2 linked regions of the Drosophila melanogaster genome follow. The protein of the gene in region 1 interacts with the protein of each later gene in a pairwise test. Each region holds a gene or a part of one and is shown in the gene's direction. Other genes may lie near its edges.

Region 1 (3,756 bases):
CGGACGGGTTTTTTTTCTTATTGTACCATACTCCGTATGTATGTACATATGTATATGTTCTCGTTCCGAATTTTCGTATTGTTTGTTTGTACATATTTCAAATACGAGCAGCCCAAAGCAACCAGTTTGTTTGCGGTCCACAGTTGTGGCACATACTGGCAGTCGCAATCGCGCAACTCCACAGCTCCACATTGACGACGATGACGATGACATCATCGTCACTAAAATCGCTCTGCGCAATTACAATAAAACAACACTGAAAATGAGCGCTCAAACTTTTATTGTACTAACTTGGATGAGGCAAAGTCGCCGTTTTGCCGGCTCTCTGTTGCATGAAAATGTAATTTTCGCTGGTTTTGTTTGTCAATTAGCGGGTGATCGCTAATAGAAGTGAGGGGGTGGGGGTGGGGCGAAGCGCTGGAAAGTCAATAAACAAAATGCCAAAATCAATATGCAAATTGTGGAACAAAATGTGTGTGATTGCATAATAAACAAGGCAGATAGTCAGCGAAACATAATGAAATTAATTAAAACGGGCAGAGCACGTACACGAACTTTAAACAAACTATGGGGCGGAAGTCCAAGTTGGTGACGAAAGCCCGCTCTCTGTCGAACAATATACACATGTATCCGTAAATGTATCTGAAACTGAGCCGGTGTATCTGTATCTGAGTTTGTATTATCAGGTCGTCTTTCATTCCAACTGGACCGCCGAATGTGAAAAATTTCGGTGGCGTCACCGCACAAATAAATATTCATTCTTGAATTTTTGTGTATGTACTATTCTCGCCATATTGAGATGTGTTGGTAACCTGGTAGATTGATCGTGTATATTAAGTAATAGTATTGGTTTTAAATTCAAAATAAACAGTGGAAAGAACATCTAGACCGTTGCTCTCCCTCTAAATTCTATATAATTCTTAGTTTTCCTCTTATCACTTAGCACATTTAAATCTACTTACAAATGAAGCTTTTAAAGTTTTTAATGAGTCTAGTCAGAATAGTTCTTATTCTAGTCACACAATTTAATGTTCTTGATTAGTTCTCCATGAATAGGAAACATTAAGAGAATGCTATAAACAATTTAATACAAGATAATGGCTGATACCGTTAGTGCGCAGACATACGTCACTATTATAGAACAAGCTAATGGCACACATGAACCTGAGCTACGGGCTTATCAATAATTTCTATTTTGGAAGCAACCCAAATATGAAAAAGCAACACAACTGCCGACTAAATTGGGGAAAAACAAAAAAATCCAAAAGGCCTGAAAAAACAACAGTGAGATGGTGAAAAATGTTCAGACAGCGCGATACAATGCGGTCGCTCTTATATACATACACACACATTTATCCACATATGCATATGTATGTATGTATATGTATCTTTACTCTTGTTATGCACTGCAAGCGGCTGCTTTTAGCCGATGTGGTGTGGCTGGGATGTTCCGCTGTCTATTTAATCAACCGCAGACTTCTGCCTCCGGCGGACAAGAAAGCCGCCAGAACAGATCAGCACATCAGTCATGGCCAACAATTAGTTTCGATGCGTTCAGCCGTCATGGTGCCGAGTTCCGAGCTCCAAGTTCCCTTCATGACTGATCTTGCAATAAGGAACACTATGTGTTGGCATGTAAGTCAACTCATGAGAATATATATGAGAATATATAGCTCCTGAACCAGATACAAACGATCAGATAGCAAATATCTGAGTCTGGTCAGATTATTGATTCAACAGGTGATAAAGCAAACGTATCTAAAGTTTCAATACGGCAGAGTCTTCCCAGAAGTCGCTTTACTTTCAGTGATTCTCAAAGGGTGGCAGTTTTGTCCCCCTTTCGCATTCCAAGTAATTCTTTATGAATGCTTGTTATCTTCTACCAAAGACACTAGTTATTCTAGTGTCTTTGCTTCTACCTTGCAGTTTATTTGCAGTTGGTTGGGATATTTCTCACACTATGTACACATGTGCATGCTACCCCCATGGACATATGCAAAACTGGGGGCTCCATGTCACACATCTATTTAACCTGTTCCACACTTGTGTGTACATTAACGAGCAGTGTTTGTGTGTGTGCTGTCTTTATATAAAGAAAATATCTGCCCTTGGCCTTATCAATGATAAGATTAATGGCTTGCCAGACCCGTGAGTCAGACTACAAACGACTTACGGCCATGTCGGGGTGTGTAGAAGAGTTGGCCTGGTTGTGACTGTCAATACAAGTGCTTACATAGGCACACAAGTGTGGGGGAAACAACGCACACACACATACAACGAATCTCGCAACATACGATATACGATAAGTTGTGATGTATATATTAATATATATATCCATTCCGAAACATCCACAAACAGACAAGACCAGACCGATATACCCTAGCACATTGGGAACGGAGCTTCGAACTGAGCTCGGTAAAACGGGGCAAGGTTGGGGCATTATCGCATCACATGCATATGACATCAGCGCAACACTGCGTATACGTAATCTGGCGATAGTACTGATTGAATGAATTTAATGTCAGGCTCTACTAACCGTAGTTCTCCCTTCGTTTTCGTCCCCTTTTCCCCGCAAACAGGTAAACAAAAAATCTACTGTGCGAAATGCACGAAGAAGTGCTCCGGCGAGGTGCTCCGCGTGGCGGACAACCACTTCCACAAGGCCTGCTTCCAGTGCTGCCAGTGCAAGAAGTCCCTGGCCACCGGCGGATTCTTCACAAAGGACAACGCCTACTATTGCATACCGGACTATCAGCGGCTGTACGGCACCAAGTGCGCAAATTGCCAGCAGTATGTGGAGGGCGAGGTGGTCAGCACCATGGGCAAGACCTATCACCAGAAGTGCTTCACCTGCTCCAAGTGCAAGCAGCCCTTCAAGTCGGGCAGTAAGGTGAGCTGAAACCCTCCACAGATCGAGTGATAAGTAACTAATCACATATTCCTCCTCACAGGTGACCAACACCGGAAAGGAGGTGCTTTGCGAGCAATGCGTCACGGGTGCTCCAGTGTCGCCCAGTCGCCAGGCGACGGGTGGAGGCGTCTCCTCGCCAGCTCCTCCGGCGGAGAGTCCGACGAGAGCCACTGCCCACCAGCAGCACGGCAGTGTGATCTCTCATAAGGCGCACCTCAAGGAGGACTACGATCCCAATGACTGTGCCGGCTGTGGGGAGCTGCTGAAGGAGGGCCAGGCACTGGTGGCGTTGGACCGGCAGTGGCATGTCTCTTGTTTCCGGTGCAAGGCCTGCCAGGCGGTGCTCAATGGGGAGTACATGGGCAAAGACGCGGTGCCCTACTGCGAGAAGTGCTACCAGAAGGGATTCGGGGTGAAGTGTGCCTACTGCAGTCGCTTCATTAGCGGCAAGGTGCTCCAGGCGGGCGACAACCACCACTTCCATCCGACCTGTGCCCGCTGCACAAAGTGCGGCGATCCCTTCGGCGACGGCGAGGAGATGTACCTGCAGGGCAGTGCCATCTGGCATCCGCGATGCGGTCCGGGTCCCTCCGAGTCCGGCATAATTTTGAACGGCGGCGGAGGCACTTCGTCGGTGGTCGGAGGTGCCTCCAATGGCAACTTCACAGACACTGAATGCGACCGGATGAGCTCCAGTGCCCTTAGCGAGATGGTAAGTAGTCGGATCTACAGATGATAAACCGCTGGTACTGAGATAATTCTCGAGACTCCAACACAACAATCCCGAGTTTAAAGAGGCTGCTGAGCTTGCAACTAATTTGAATGCTGCAAAATTCACGAAAGGC
Region 2 (3,756 bases), 3.8 Mb from region 1:
AGGAGTAGCTAAAGTACGAATATGTATATGTAATACGTGTGTCTGTGTCTCCGTTCGTTTGTAAATGTTTAAGCTAAGTGTAACCGTAGATGTACTTGTATACTATATCCTCCGACTGGTGTAGGTCGTAGCCCCTCCCAGCCCCGCGCCTCGTGGTTCAGTCTTTAATTTAAGGGGCGACCCCCAAGGTGAAACTAATCTTCCACGACCTGTACCCATTGCGAGGCCGAGTGGCTGGGAGCAGGGCTCTCCAACTCGAAACTCGTTGTTGAATCTGTTTGTCCCGGCTAAAGTGAGAAGAACACATCCCCCGGAAAACATAGCCCCTCCTGCCGCAGACGCACTATTTGAACTGCCCTCCCGCAAACGAGATCAAAGTCGGGCCGACCCGAAAAAAGGCAAAGTTATATTGGACACGTCTTGCGCCATTGCGTGCCCAGTGCTGGTCATTATTTAACTTTTAAACACGCGCCAAAAACAGCACCAGATTTGAATTTAATGGTCACAGCAGTTGCTCCCGCTCCCGCTACCGCTCCGGCTCCACTGGCATTAGCAGCGGGGCCAGCCAACAAGTGAGCAATAAAGAAAAGTTTAGAAAAATATCCCAATCCATGCTGCCGGCCGAATCACCAATCCGGAGTACCCCATCCCAAATGAATGGGTATATAGAACTGGGCACGGATTTGTGCGCACGATAGCGCAAAACGATGACAATAAATGGAAAACTTTTTAATAAGCTAATAAAATGATTTATGCGGGTCGAGCGATAAGAGGGATAAAAGGCACGGAGTTCCACTTCCAGATGGCCATTTGATGGGCCCGATTCCGGCCAATTCCGACAGACAGACACCTCATTGACGAACGCCAACCAGTTGGACCTGAGCACGCACACACACACACACATACACAACGAATGTATTCTTGAGCATTATTTATTGGATATTGAATGGGTCGGCCCAGCTCGCAGGATTGGGGCAGTTCAAGAGGGGAGCGTAGCCCCCACCCCCCCACCACCCTATCATCCCCCTTTCATTGGCAATTGTTATCAAGGCATTAGCACATCGGAAATGCTATACGACTATATCATACTCAAGACAAGGGCTAAACGACTATAAGTGTTCTAACGTTTGTCATATCAGTTGGGCGATTCAGTTCTTGACTTTCTATCGAAAAAACGTAATTGAAAAAAAGAAATGTATATGCTAAGTCATCGATAGCGATTAGTAAAATCAATGTAATGTCATAATGTTTAAATGTAAAAGTTATAGCATCCAGGTAACTGGTAGAGCAAATCGTAAACTTCCTCCAAGTTTATACATATATAGTAAAGGTCCCCGCTGTAGATAACCAAAATCGAGTGCCAGTAGTGCAATTTTAAAACGATCCCCAACAACCTGTAGCATCACGACATCCCCATGATCCATGTCGAGGTCAGCAGATACTATTTTATGAGCCTCAGAGAGGTCAACGATGTACATACATACATGCAAGCCCAAGTCCCGAAAACAGACAGACATACATACATATACACATCATTGTAACTGACTACATATGTAAAAATGCTTAAAATATTTGTGATAAAGTAATAATGTTAATGATAAGGAATAAAACGTAAATATATTAATGAGAATACATTGAGTTTGAATTAAAGCAATTCGAGTTGTATTTTCATTGCTGGGAGGCACAAGGTTTCCTAAATTCTTTTTTTAGCAATCTAAAAACGTTACCATATCTTCACTCATTTGAATGATTTTTTGATACCAATACAAAATTATTTTGTAGCAAAGCAGATGTTTTTGAGCTTGCAAGATAGCTCCATCGAGATTGGAATTAAGTTCTATGCTGGCTAATAAACTTATTTGAGTAAAATTTACCAAAACGAATTCTCAACACTAAAGTACTAAAGTAAAGTATGGAAATGTAGGACATGCAGATGACCGCCTTCGCAACCCCATTTATTGTTAAAAATACGTTACTATTTAAATTTGAAAAATGTGTGCCGTTCACAATGGACGCCCCGTCAGCCAGTGTTGGTAAGGGTGCGCAGCAACTGGATAGGTCAGTGTCCAAAAGGGACTAACGCGTGGCGAGCATAAACATCTGTTTGTCGGAGTCACAAAATGTAGGAAGTTTATGGTTTATAATAATTGATTGGATTGCTGGCGCAACTTTGGCGTCCCCGAAATTTGAAGTGTGTTGTGAGTGCTTAACCCACATGAGTGCAAAATTGCCATGGCAACGTGAATCGAACACGAACAGCAACACCCACACAGAGACCATTGAAGATCCGCGCATTGTGGCGCAGTATTGCATCAGCAACTGCGTAAGTGCAGCACATTGACTCCATTTTTGTTTTGCTGATGAAATCGCAGCGCGATTTTTGTTTCTTGTGAAATTCCGCTCTATGCTTGCCAAGCTTTTGTTTGTTGGTTGCATGAATTCGGTAAACGCGACAGTTACTTCCCGGAATTCAAACGGAAAGGAGCTTTCCGCGAAGCGTCCTCAATCAATTTCGAGATAGAGATAGAGAATAATAACGCAGCTGACGCGGTCAAAACAAAAGCGCTTGTGTAGAAAATCAAATGCGAAGCAAACGCGGCGAGGACAAGACGCGAAAAGCTGTCAAAACTACGCGCCGAAAAAGGAAAGGGTCTGGTCGATCAGAAATCCGCTACGCAACACAGATTGCGTATCTACATAAAACGTAATAATTTAATTGTGTGGGAGTTATCTCACAATTAAGAAGGTTCGTTTTTAAACTAAGTTTCCTTATTTGAACAACAATCGTAGAACTAAAGAGGTGTGTTTGAATTGTGGAAAGCCAAGCATTAATTGTTGAATAAAATTATCAAACGTCGCGGCTTCGCATCAAAATCGTGAAAAAGTTAACTTTTATAGTTCCAGTGTCGAAGGACGTAATGGCGTGTGACGTAATTAAACATTGTATATCCTGCCTTCTAATTGCAAAAATAAAGTAATTAGAATTAAAACCTATAAATTTACCATTTATCGTTAGCTTTAGTAATTAAATAGGTTCGTAATAACATCCCGCATTAAATATTTAGGTAACTTTCTTCTTGTGGAAATTCACTAAGTTAATTTTTTTAAGCTCAACCCCCACTTGCTAAACAAAAAATACGTTCCATGAAAGAACTCAAACGCCCTAGGGTAAGGTATTGCGAAAGCTTTTGAAGTATTCAGGTGCTTGTTCTTCGGTCAACAAAGCAAAACAATCGGGAGCAGGTTATAAACAAAATCGAAAGGCACCCAAAAGCGGAGAGCACAAGTACGCACACAACTACGAACTACAACTACAAAGCACAGCACTCAGAACCCAGATAGCCGAACGAACAACAAATTCGACCTGGGCAAATGAAAAGCGCAGCCAAAATCGATATTTTGTGCCAGCGTCGCGCGCAAATAGGAGCTGCTTTAGCGCTTAATATCTCGAATAAACTCGAGCGGATTGGTTTGATTAGTGAGCCAAATATAGGGATTATCTGGTAAGATGTTTGGAACTTGTCGTATTATCGACCTTCTGTTCCACCTGCCCCCGCGCGTGGGCTCGAAACAACGGCCAGAGTCGTGGCAAACATAAACAAGCATTTTCAAGGTCGCTGCAAGTCAAAGACGGCCAAAAAAACAAATGGGGAAAATTTCAGTTTTGATGGATACACATAAGCAAACGGTTCCATCAAAAAGATACATAGAAGTTGAAAAATAATTGTTTTTAAAGTGAAACAAATGACGTGGTGT

Evidence for each region.
Region 2: the proteins of Unc-115a (region 1) and CG2017 interact in a two-hybrid assay, tested with the Drosophila melanogaster proteins (one large-scale study listed by BioGRID).

What each region holds. Positions count from the first base shown.
Region 1 is NT_033777.3:9,698,185-9,701,940, reverse strand, and holds the start of Unc-115a (uncoordinated 115a), read left to right. Parts: upstream 1-2,020; 5' UTR 2,021-2,312; coding exon 2,313-2,430; exon of another isoform or gene 2,431-2,509; coding exon of another isoform or gene 2,510-2,579; coding exon 2,580-2,890; intron 2,891-2,951; coding exon 2,952-3,623; intron 3,624-3,756.
Region 2 is NT_033777.3:5,860,737-5,864,492, reverse strand, and holds the start of CG2017 (uncharacterized protein), read left to right. Parts: upstream 1-2,087; 5' UTR 2,088-2,215; coding exon 2,216-2,323; intron 2,324-2,590; exon of another isoform or gene 2,591-2,746; intron 2,747-3,188; exon of another isoform or gene 3,189-3,503; intron 3,504-3,756.